Callithrix jacchus: one gene and its partners. The protein of the gene in region 1 purifies or fractionates together with the protein of each later gene. This does not show direct contact. Links are inferred from orthologs where the notes say so. Each region holds a gene or a part of one and is shown in the gene's direction. Other genes may lie near its edges.

Evidence for each region.
Region 2: the proteins of CD84 (region 1) and SH2D1A purify together in Homo sapiens (affinity purification with western blotting; 4 studies listed by BioGRID and IntAct, with this or other methods). This does not show direct contact. The link is inferred for Callithrix jacchus from reciprocal best matches to the Homo sapiens genes CD84 and SH2D1A.
Region 3: the proteins of CD84 (region 1) and SH2D1B purify together in Homo sapiens (affinity purification with western blotting; 3 studies listed by BioGRID and IntAct, with this or other methods). This does not show direct contact. The link is inferred for Callithrix jacchus from reciprocal best matches to the Homo sapiens genes CD84 and SH2D1B.

What each region holds. Positions count from the first base shown.
Region 1 is NC_133519.1:20,498,635-20,502,879, reverse strand, and holds the start of CD84 (SLAM family member 5), read left to right. Parts: upstream 1-1,415; 5' UTR 1,416-1,469; coding exon 1,470-1,515; intron 1,516-4,245. UniProt on the Homo sapiens protein: Self-ligand receptor of the signaling lymphocytic activation molecule (SLAM) family.
Region 2 is NC_133524.1:120,100,341-120,104,453, forward strand, and holds the start of SH2D1A (SH2 domain-containing protein 1A), read left to right. Parts: upstream 1-1,262; 5' UTR 1,263-1,350; coding exon 1,351-1,487; intron 1,488-4,113.
Region 3 is NC_133519.1:39,150,842-39,155,087, forward strand, and holds the start of SH2D1B (SH2 domain-containing protein 1B), read left to right. Parts: upstream 1-1,390; 5' UTR 1,391-1,510; coding exon 1,511-1,644; intron 1,645-4,246. UniProt on the Homo sapiens protein: Cytoplasmic adapter regulating receptors of the signaling lymphocytic activation molecule (SLAM) family such as CD84, SLAMF1, LY9 and CD244. In SLAM signaling seems to cooperate with SH2D1A/SAP.

The sequences.
Region 1 (4,245 bases):
CCCTAAACCCCTACATTGTTCAAGGGTCAACTATATTCAGTATTATGTAATTATATATGGGAAATGATCAGCAGGATTGTTTAATGAGTGATTCTAGAGGCCCAGGTTTCCTAGGAATAAGCTATCTGACATGAGGACTCCTCTCAGTTGGAAAAGCTTTACACATCCTCCAGGTCTCAGGGGTAGGGTCCCCAGCCTTCCCAGCACTCCCCAAAACAGCTGGGTCACATTGCTTAGCTTCTGGGTCCAAATATCCATTTACATCACCATTCCCAGACAACCTCTCCCATACACACATTACACAATCACTCTTATTCCCACTAACCAGGATGAGGACCCTCCACAAGAAAAGGTCCTGTTAAATCTAGCTCAACTCCACCTAAGCATGCCTCTGCACCTGCTGTCTCTCATGCCCAGGAGTCATGGTCTTTTCCAAGTGACACTTGCTGCCTTTTACCTCAGTTTACTAATTCACTGAGTGAAATAGAGAAAAATCACTTCCTCTCCTTCTGAGCCAGTTTCTCCTTCTGCAGAATAGATTTGATAGTCTAAAAATCCCTTTCAGCTTTAATTTTTATCAAATGCTTTTTGTGTCCCTAATAAGGTGTGATCATAATCATGTTTCATGATGATATCATGGAATCATACATAATTATATGCATATAGTTATACTATGTTATGTATTAATATACTACATAATTATATATTATTATATTGTGTATAAATATAATTATATATTATTAACATAATACTTAATATAACTCAGTATTATGTCTCTTCCACCTTCCCTTTGACCTTTGACTTAATATAATTAATAATATATAATTAATATATAATTGATTATATTAAATATTAAATGGTATATAATTATGATATAATTAATATATAATTTATTGTGTTAAAAATAATATGATTAGATATTATAATACATAATCATATATTTTTTTCTCTTTCACATCCCCCGCCACCATTTGCCTAATAATAGTAATTCATTCTTCAGGCTTGCCTCAGCTTGGTTGTCAATTTCTTCAGAAAGTCTACTCCAACTTTTCTTAGCCTGAGATAGACGCCCCTACTGTTCTCAGAGTTCCCTGTATTTTCCCTCTTACAACACTTACTGCGTTATATTGAAATTGCTTGTTTAGTTGTTGATTACTCCAAAAAGGAGTAAAAAAATCCATGAAAAGAGGGCGATCAATTGCTTTGTTGCTCTGTATATTGCCAGCACCCAGAAGAGTGTCTGGCACATAGTAGGCACACAATAGATATTTGTTGAAGAAATAATTAATGTTAGGCCCTTTAAATTAGAAAAAACTAGCACAGTAATACAACACCAATGTTAACTAAAGGAAGTTAGTTGCACTTCCTTTCTTCAACTTAGCTATAAAAAGGAGGACAAAAATTCGAGTGAAACTGACTCTGCTAGAACAGTGCCGTGCTTTTCCACAGAAGATTAGACCCCAAGAGAGATGGCTCAACACCACGTATGGATCTTGCTCCTTTGCCTGCAAACCTGTGAGTTCTGACCCTTGCTGATCCCCTCCTAGTTTTCCATAAAGTTTTAAAACTTTCCCTTAAGAAAGACTGAACTGTTCTTTTGATGTTTTTAACAGAACTGCTGAGTCTCAGTATTTACTGTACTCAGCAGGATCCAACTGGCTGGGGAGAGACTTAAAATCCAAACCTAAGTGGTTTTCAGCTTTAAAGTCTATATTTCTGAATTTTGTCTGGTTTTGGAGATCTCAGTTTCCAAAGGTCTGAGGCAAATCCTTCTCAGAGGAGCCAGAACTTGGTAAACCCACCCATAAAGCCTAGCAAAGGAAAGATCATCTAAAAGCTTGAATGACTTAAAAGCCATTTCTTCTTGGCATTCAACTGTGGTGGTTTTTGAGGCAGAAAATGTCTTTCCTAATTATAGTTGATTGATCCATCAGGTTAGAGTGATGCTTGACTCATTGTTATCCTTGTGTAGGCCTCCTCTCTATAAACTCCCTTTATTTTCAAAACACAGTTAGAGACATTACACTGCTTTTATCCTTCAGAAACTCTAAAATAAATGAGGAAGAGATTACTATCCCATTTTACACAAATAGTCTCAAAAAGTTGGAAAACTTGAATCAAAAACCCTATTTCTCTTACTTATGGCATAACGGTAAACTAAAAGAACAACATGAATATTGATTGTTATTGGTACAAAGAAAACTGTGTAACATTAAAAGATCAGATCAAATTTTTGGAGCCTCTACTGGCTGCTCGAGAATGGCAAACAGAAAATGCAACTAGGTGAGGAAAAGTTGGTACTGGGAATGTCCTTAATCTTCCAGAGAGAGACTAGACAAGGTGGCATTTGATACCACTTAATTTTCAAAACATTTTACAATATTTATGCCTACATTCTTATGTTATCCATATGAAAACCATTGAGATGGGAAAGATAGATAGATATTATTAATTACATTATGCAAGAAAAATAAAGTAAGATTTAGAGGTTAAAAAATTCACCTGAAATTTCTTTTTTTTTTTTTTTTTGAGACGGAGTCTCACTCTTGTTACCCAGGCTGGAGTGCAATGGCGTGATCTCGGCTCACCACAACCTCCGCCTCCTGGGTTCAGGCAATTCTCCTGCCTCAGCCTCCTGAGTAGCTGGGATTACAGGCATGCGCTACCATGCCCAGCTAATTTTTTGTATTTTTAGTAGAGACGGGGTTTCACCATGTTGACCAGGATGGTCTCGATCTCTTGACCTCGTGATCCACCTGCCTTGGCCTCCCAAAGTGCTGGGATTACAGGCTTGAGCCACCGCGCCTGGCTCACCTGAAATTTCAATACCTAAATTGGTAGAGGTGGAAATAGACATCGGTTTTTCTAATCTTAAAGTTAATCCCAATCTCACTGGTTATTCTTTCTGCTCCACTTGACCTCCTCACTCATCGTTTTCAAATTCTTGATGCAAAAGGTTAATACCTGCTAAGATAAAAGGTAGCTCTTGGATATACTTCTTTCATCTACTGAAACTGAAATAAATTGTCAAATCAACTAGTAGTGAATTCTTTTGTTTATGAGTTTTGTGACCCTGAGGAAGTTGTATTTCTCCTTTGACTTTTGTTTCAGCGTCAAAATGGGGAAGGTATTAATGTAATAGAATTGTTTTGCGAATCAAAATGATGATAATGCATGAACAACACTTGGTATAGTAGCTGAATATATCGTTTAACAGATACTAGCTAGTGCTGCTGTTTTTCACACTCACTTTTCATGCATTCTTAGGAAGAGCCATGGCTTTACTGCACGGAGATCCTAGGCAGGACTCCTCTGTCTGGGAATGGTCCAAGGAACATCAACAGGAGAAAAGGTGGTGGGAGTTGGAGCTTAGGTGTTGGTTGTTGGGATTCTGGAAAAGGAGACTAGGAAAGAGATATCCATTTAATCGAGGATCCATGAAAGACGGAATGGGAGTTTTCTTTGTTTGTTTTTGTTTTTGTTTTGTTTTTTAATAAAAGTAAAGCCAGGAATACTTTTTACACACTGCCCACTTTTACCGAATTATCTGTTTGCCTGTTAAGGATTATTCTGCAAACCTTTTCTCAGCACAAAAATATACCCTGAATTCCTCCTGCTGCTGCTCCTGTTAGAGGTAGCCCTTTATATTCAGTATTAGGCTTAGGAGTCTACATTTGATGCATTTTCCTGGAATTCAGAGCAGTTGAAGAGGCTGAGAAGCAGTGGAGAGATGCAGGGAGAAATCCCCATTTTCCCCCAGAAATCGCCGACATAAGGAAAGTCTGAGTGTGCAGACTCATGACTGTTCCACGTTGGAAAAGTTTTCTGAGTCAAAATTCACAGTCTTATGCTCTGATCTGAACTTTCTAATCATGACTTTGGAAACATCATGACTCTGACTGTCTCTCCACATATCCTAGGAGACACTCCCACTCTGGGGGTAGGAGATGGAGCAGTTCACAGGTTTTAATCCTTGCCCATCCCCTCTGCATATTCTGTCTCATACTCTTAATTCTTCCTTTTCTCTGCCCCGTTCTTATTTCTGTTTCTTCAATTTTCTATCTTATCTCCCATCAATAAAACTAATAAATAACCATTTATGGAGCAATCACTGCATATTTGGCATTACTCTAAGTAGTCTACAGTTATTATTTTGTTTAATCTTTACTACACACTATAGATACGTACTATTAATATGTGCATATACAGACGAAAGCATTGATTCACAGAGTCTCAAAGGTCATT
Region 2 (4,113 bases), on another chromosome or scaffold:
TCAGCTCTGTACCTGCAATCCATTGGTAAGACATGTGAGGAATTAAGTATTGCTCTCCCTATTGAGCTCCCAGCATTGCCATATTCTCAAAGAACTACACGCTGAAGTTGCAGAAAGCATATAATAGATCACATAGCTTCAGTTATTTTAATTCCAATTTTACAAGTACTTTGCATAATCTAAAGGTACATGTATAAGACCATTCAGCTTCAGCAATAAATTCTTACTCTAGTGAAAATGCAAGAAGTTTTGGGGAAATATTACCTAGCACATTTTGAAATAGAAGCAATGCTTTATTTCAGAGAAGAAAATGGAGGTTGAAAGGTTTTAAAATATTAAAGACAGTTTAGCATCAATCGAAGAAATAACATTGTTTAGAAACAACAGACAATAAAAGTTACAACAAAATTATCAACGCTTGCAAATGATTTAAAACAGATTTTTTGGACAAAATGCTGAAAGGTGGGCCTTATACACCAAAGGGCACATACAAATTTGCATTAAGACAAATCACCAGTTAAATGTTACATTGTCTCATCTAAAGCCCATCAAATACTTAAATCTGGAACATCTTTGGATGTGCATTGTGACTTTTGTATCTCAACTAGCACTTTGGGACCTTGGACAAGGTGTTAGGAAAGAAATCAATATTGGTCAGGACCAAGACTTCTCAAGATGACTGCATGAGGTAGAAGGAAGAAGGAGAAAAAGAACTTGCCCAAAGTTCACTGTTCATCTGCTATGTCTGATTCTGTAGGAGTCTTCATGGCCGTGTTCAGTAATGATTGCATAATGACAGTACTAATAAAACTATTAGTGTTTTGTTCTCAGAGCTTTTGGTCCTTTCATTCTGTCAGTATGTTTCTGCCCTACATGATGGGTCCACATACCGACAGAGACATGTATAACTTGCCTCTATCATCAACTCCTTACCGGCTGGTTGAGCTAAGTTATTCCTTGTGGCCTCTGAGTAATCTGCAAGAACAGAAGCATTACTAAGCATCCCTATCTGCGTGCAAGGGTGTGTGTTGGCAGTACAGCTCAAATCTTGCAAAATCCTTCTTCTAATTTTCCTCCCCTCTGTAAGAACCCTGTGTTGGGGGGCAGGAGATGGAAGCCCTTGGCAAGCTCGATTAAACCAAGCTACTAAATTGCTGAGCTGGTTTTAATTGAAGTGTGAGAAGGAGGTTTAAGGCAAGTAGACAACATCCTGTTGTTTGGGTGCCTCTCTCTTTTTTGCACATCTGGCTGAACTGGGAGTCAGGTGGTTGATCTGTGCCTGGCTGCAGTAGCAGCGGCATCTCCCTTGTACAATCCTCCTCCTCGGCCTGCCCGAGAGTCCACCAGGCCATGGATGCAGTGGCTGTGTATCACGGGAAAATCAGCAGGGAGACCGGCGAGAAGCTCCTGCTCGCCACTGGGCTGGATGGCAGCTATTTGCTGAGGGACAGCGAGAGCGTGCCAGGCGTGTACTGCCTGTGTGTGCTGTGAGTATTCTGTGGCAGGCAGGGGCCTGCTGAGCATGTGGATGGTGGGCACTGGCAGCTGAGGCCAGGGCAGAGGCTGAGGCGGGCAAGGGTGCTGGCGTTAGCAGCTTGCTGAGGCCTTCTTCATGACCCACCCTCAAGTCTAGTCCAGGGCCGTGAGGGAACACACTTTCGCCTGAGTCCCTCGCTGGGGATTTCATTCCCTGGGCCTCCTGCTCTCCAGAAGGCCCTCACCAGGGGCTTTTGGGGCAGCTGCAGAGAATGCCCTTTAGGGTGGTGAAATATGGTCTAAAGTTTACCTTTGCTCCAAGAAAGACCCAGGCTCCCAACTTCCATTTTAACTCCTATCGGGTGGCTCCGTACTCTAGCTCTCTTTAAATGACTTTTGAAGTGTCATCCCAAAGAAAGAGCATGACATTCAGAGAGAGGAGGCAGATTAAGAAACAGTCAATTACTTTAAGAATGCAATGCCAGTTAGGTCAAGATGCTGAGAGAGGAGGGGGATGTGTGAAAGTAAAATCATCTCTCTGGATCTGCTGATGTAGCATTCTTTAGAAAGGTAGTGTCTGTGAGGGGTGGGGCAGGGGATTTCAGAAATAGGATCCTTCTTGATAAACATTAGGACTCACAGTAGTCTTAAAGGGAATGGAGGGAAAACACCCTTGTTATGATTCAGCTTTGCCCTTTGCCTAGGCATGTCTCAGTCTAAGGCTTCATTTTGAATCAAATTCACCTGTGTCGTTGCTCCAGTGCTCCAGAGTCAGGCAGATCTGAGATGTAGTCCTGCGCTAGTCAGATGTTAGTCTTGTGACCTGGGCAAATTAACCTTTCAGTCCCCCAGTTTTCTTATCCATTGAATAATACTAAAGATATATTATTATTATTATATCTCCTCTTTTCAGTTGATTTCTTTTAGGAATCATGGGGGCATTTCTAAGGAAGTACCTAGCTAGCTCAAGCATTATTGTCAGCGGAATAAAAAAATCCATGAAAACAACAACCCTGCATAGTAGGTTCTAGACAGAAACCAAATGAGGTTAAATGCTTGGTAGTAAGTTCAGCATCTGATGATACACTACAAGAGTTTGAAATACCTTATGGGTCAGTGAAGAAAGATGATCCCGATGCTGGTGTTAGAGGATTTTCACTGTATATTGGTTATTAAAAATGGTCAAGCCTTGTTTGTTGCAGCTCTCCTATCATGCTCTAAATACATTTTTCATAAAGGCTTCAAGGGAAATACGTGGAAGCTATTGATTGTCTTGGGCTTGAATCTTTATGTTTTGCTTATATCATTATTGTTTCCATGTGGAACCTAGGGAAGGGCAAAGAAAACCAGCTGGGATTCTTAGGCTCTTTTCTCATTGAAAGAAGGTGCAGTGGGCAGGTGAAAGGTACTGCTTTAGGGAAGCTGACAAAGGAGATAACATGCTCCTTAACCCAAAGGTGAAAAAGAAAGTACAAAACAAGTCTGGGCAGAGGAGGGACAACAGGGTATAGTGAGAGTCAAGATACACCTAAGGCTTCAGCCTCACTGGGCTCCTGGCCATTTCTCAAGCTCCTAAAAAATGCCCCCACTTAGGATTTCTGCACTTATTGTTCACATGTTTGTTCAACTGTCTCCTCCCTCAGAGAGGACTTGCTTGACCACTACCTAGAACAACTGCTCTCTCCCTGTCCCTGATACACTCGCTCCATCTCTACTTTTCTTCAAAGAGCTTTAAACTATCTGATAACTTGCTTACTTACCTACTTATTGCTGGACGCTCCTGCAAAAATATAATCTCCATGAGGGTAGAGACATTGTCTCCATCACCAGGAACACAGAAACACATAATAGGCACTCAGCAAATATTTTTGAATCAACACACTGTCAAGGCAAATTCTGTTCTTTACTGTAAGAAACTGAATGGACATCGATGGGTTAGGGTGTGGACTCTGGGAAAGTCACTCAAATTCTCTGGGTCTCACTTTCCATATTTATAAAACAGGAATAGTATTGTGTATCTTACCTTCTGCAAAAGATTGCCTTCAGTACAATATATAAGACAGAAGGACAACTTTAGCCTTTTGCCTGTGTAGGCCAGAACCACATAAGGAATTAACTTAGGCAGATGAGAAATTCTCAAGCATTTAACTTTTTGCCCAAAGTGAATCTTGCATAAATGCAGTTTTTATGACCCTTAGTTCTCCATGAAAACCTCCCTGTAAAGTAGCAGAAAATACTGGGCAAATTGGGAGTTCCCTTATGGTGTCTTTCAAATGGTACACTGGGGCCTCAAAGTCTTATGAGACTGTTAGAGTGATAGCCAGAATGTGCTGCAGAGGGAAGATACAAGGATACATTGCCTTTTATCAGAGTTTCTCAAGGTTTTTGAATTGAGAGTCCTTTTTGATAAACATAAACATTTCATTTCCTCTTTTTGGTGCTACACTGTAATGATAAAATCAAATTTTGTTTAGAAATAAACCATGTACTAATTTTAAAACAAAACACTTTTGCTTATGATATGCAGTCAAAATAACAATAGAAGTGGTGTCATATGCACATAGACAACAAGGTATAGCTGATAAACATGCATTGATTGTAGGGTTTACTCAGAGTAGTTTCTCATTCTTTTGTGTA
Region 3 (4,246 bases), about 19 Mb from region 1:
CACAAATGTGCAAGGCATTGTCAAACTCTCTTTTACTATAGTTGTAACTATTTTGTATCCTAACCAAGATACAAGATGTTCTATTTTCTTTCACCATCACCAATCCAGTAAGTTTTCACATTTTTGATTTTTTTCACCAATATGATAGGTGAGAGATGTTCTCTCAGCATGGATTTAATTTATATTTCTTTTACTCTGAGGATTGAATTTTGAAACAGGAAAAAGGTCCAGCAAGCCCCTGTGATAACCAAGAGCCTGAGCATACTTTCAGTTATTTTCTCTTTTATGTCAAAAACATCTTCACACGATGATTGTGAATGTATTCCCAATAATTACCGAATTTCTTCTTTCATCATTAATAACTCTGTCTTCAACTGCCATAGTTCCCAGGGAAATATAATAATGAATTGTCCAAAACCACAGAAGAAAAGTTGGTATTTGAGAGCAGCTCTCTCTGATAACAAGTTCCTTGATCCGTGAAACTACGCTATGCCAAACAGCAAAGAGTGGGAATTCCAAGGAAGAACAAAGACCGTTACAAGGAAGTTTCCTGAAAGATACACCCCAAGTGTGAGTAAACAGCTGGTAAGCAAAGTAGCAATGTGAAATACACATCTGGGTTAAGAAGAAGTTAAGATTCCAGGTATCTACAGAGATGAAGAAAAAGAAAAAGAAGAAGTGAAATAAAGATACGTCACGAACTCATCTTTTCTATTTTAGTTTCATTTTCATGGATTCATTTTTGAGATATATAGTGATTTCCTGTGGATATTTGAGTATACCAGTTAACCCTCCCACCTGCACCAGCCCTTTCTCCAAAAGGTACAATGCTTGAGGGTGTTAAAAATGGCGCTTTTTTTTGCCAGTTGCTAGGAGCCTTAGTCATGGAATGGGCTGTCCTCATCCACAGTGTCCCACTGTTTTCTATTCCCATTAATATCTTCCATTTTTGGTGTCATTTGATCCATGGAAATGCCACCGTTTCAATTTTCCCACTGTATCTGAGCATATCAATTCTCTCAGCATCCCAATGCTTTTTGAGCACCCAGTCTACGCTAAGCATAGCCCAATCCTATGCAACTTCAGCAGAGAATGGGTACCATTACTGCAAAAGCGATGCTGTGCTTCCTGCACAGGATGCCAGTAGCCAGAGAAGGTGATGATAGTACATGGTAATATACAGGCTGCAACGCAGTTCCAGAGAGCTTGACTTCAGCGTTGTCTCCCTAGCGATGAGCTTCACTGATTCCACTGTGTATTTAAATGTGCTTTACCCCTTTCTGTGAGTCACATGTGGGCCACATAGAGGATAAAATGTGTTGGTCATTTTATCACCCCGCCCTTCTCATTTCCTGAATCTCATGAAGCTGGTTGAGTCTCACAGATCACTAGAGACAGAGCTATTTCCACAGGAGGCACAACTGCTTCCACATCCCTCCTCAGAGCTGTCCCTTGGCTTGGGGGTGAATTTCAGGCCAACAGGGCTGCCTGGGATACAAGAGCGTTCTCCATGGATCTTCCTTACTACCACGGCCCTCTGACCAAGCGAGACTGTGAAACCTTGCTGCTCAAGGAAGGGGTGGATGGCAACTTTCTGTTAAGAGACAGCGAGTCGATACCAGGAGTCCTGTGCCTCTGTGTCTCGTGAGTAGCCTCATCTTGCACACATGTGACATCGTACATTGAATGCGGCAAAGGCACAGTAAAGGAATACATATCCCTCAGTGTTTCACTCTGATGTTGCAGTCAAAATGCATAAAGTGAGAAATAATGAGCAGTGCCAGGAGAGGCATGTGTCTGTCCGTGCTCCCCCATCTGCCTTGCTCTCCCTGGTGTAAAGGCCTGCAAGCAGACTCTGCAGCAGCAGGAGGGATATGGTGGTGGTGAAGGGAAGGGCTGAAGAAGAGGGGTACGGGGGGATGGAGAGAAGGTACTGTTCTCCAGAGATCTGTTTATTTGGTATGGAAAAGGCTAGGGGTTTTAAAAGAAATTTCAATCTGAAAGACTACTTATTCTGCAGTATCCACTTGCAATACTTAAACTATAAATCCTAATAATATTTCACATTTTGTTAGATTTGTAAAGGACTTCAATATTCGTCATTTTCTTTCATTCTTGTAGTCTATCAAGGTAAGCATAAGCAGTCACCATTTCATAGGTAAAGAAACAGAGACCTTGGTTTCTCAAATAATTTGTGTTAAAACTAATTTGGAATTTCCAGAGTCTAAGTTAAATATGAAATTCCAGGCTGGGTGTCATGGCTCATGCCTGTAGTCCCTGCACTTTGGGAGGCTGAGGCAGGGGGATCACTTGAGGTCAGGAGTTCGAGACTAGCCTGGCCAACACGGTGAAACCCCATCTCTACCAAAAATACAAAAATTAACTTGGTGTGGTGGCGTGTGCCTGTAATACTGGCTACTTGAGAGGCCAAGGCAGGAGAATCTCTTGAACCCAGGAGACAGAGGCTGCAGTGAGCCAAGATTGCACCACTGCACTCTGGCCTGGGCAACAGAGTAAGACCCTGCCTCAAAAAAAGAAAAAAGAAATTCCAGGCTACAATATCAAAGAGACCCAGTGGAAGGAACTTGCTTATGCCCAGTTTAGAAAGCAATCCTAAACAGAAATCTGAACAGATATCACTAGAAACCTCCTATCTTGATGTATTTTCCTCTTTGTAAAGTAGGGGCCACTGAACCTGTTATTATACCTGTAACAGAAAGTGAAACCCCGGTGTCTCTTGTTAAAGAAAAAAATTACTCTATGTCATTTGTTAAATCATGGTTGGGAAGACTTTACTCAGGATCATCACAATAGGTATAGGGACCACTGCAAGGAGCTCTTAGTGCAGAGGAAAGATTGGACTCAACTCTGAGTACAGCACGGACAAGTGGGAATTTATGGCCAAGGAGTAGTGTGGGATCAGTGGCTAGAAAATTACTCAGAGGAAACATCAGGGGTAAAGGGGATTCTGGCTAAGCCAGCCTAACAGAATTGTAGCTGAAGACAGACCAGGGTGATCAGTTGTTGCCTGGGGGATGGTGGAGGAGGAGGAATCTCATCAGAACCTGACAGTGATCAGATAGCTAGGGCGAGGTGTCCTTGCCAAACTGACTTAGTAGGGTTCTTTGCTAAAACTGGATTTTACAAGGAAGTACACAAATGGGCCATGGAGTAGGCTCAGAAGTCTGATTACAGACAAAAGTGATTGTCCTTACTAATAGAATACATTGGGACACACTTCTTTCTGTAAATGATACTGGAGAGACAGGCTATCTCTCTTATACCTACATCCACAGTACCATTTAAAGAAAAATATATGTTGGCTAGGAGCGGTGGCTAACGCCTATAATCCTAGCACTTTGGGAGGCTGAGGTGGGCAGATCACTGAGGTCAGGAGCTCAAGACCAGCCTGGCCAACATAATAAAACCTTCATCTCTACTAAAAATACAAAGATTAGCTGGGCATGGTGGGGGTATCTGTATCACAGCTACTCAGGAGGCTGAGGCACGAGAATCGCTTGAACCTGGGAGGCAGAGGATGCAGTGAGCTGAGATGGCACCACTGCTATCCAGCCTGGGAGACAGAGAGACTTTCCGTCTCAAAATAAAATAAATAAGCAAATAAATAAAGAGTGGGTAAGATCTGGTTACATAGAAATGGGATGGAAGGTGCTTTAGGAAGGGGAGGAGGTAGGAACAGTGGTCTAGAAGTTGGATACTTTAAAGTATGTACATACAGGGTTCCTAAAATGTCATTTGGAAACCAGCTTTTGGAGAAGGAGGATGGGATAAGATCAGGTAGTTTTAAAAGAGTGGTTCTAAAGCTAATGGGGAAACATGGATGGTTTTTGAGCGGAGAAGTGACAAGACTAGTGAATTTAGAAACTTAAATCTGACATGAAGAACACAGTGAAGCTGGAAAATGATGGCAATAGAAACTGTTGTGCCTCTGGATGGGAGATGGTGAAGAGCTAGCTGTGATGGTGCAAGCAGCGAAAAGGGAAAAAAGAAGGTGCAAGGACAGACTGGCCAGGATCTCAGGGTATACGGTCAATATTGGGATTCTCCCTCCTTCCCTCCCTCCCTCCCTCCCTCCCTCCCTCCCTCCCTCCCTCCCTCCCTCCCTCCCTTCCTTCCTTCCTTCCTTTTTTTTTCTTTCTTTTGTTCTTTCTTTCTTTCTTTCATTCTTTCTTTCTTTCTCTCTTTTCTTTAGACAGGGTCTCACCCCAACTCCCAGGCTGGAGTG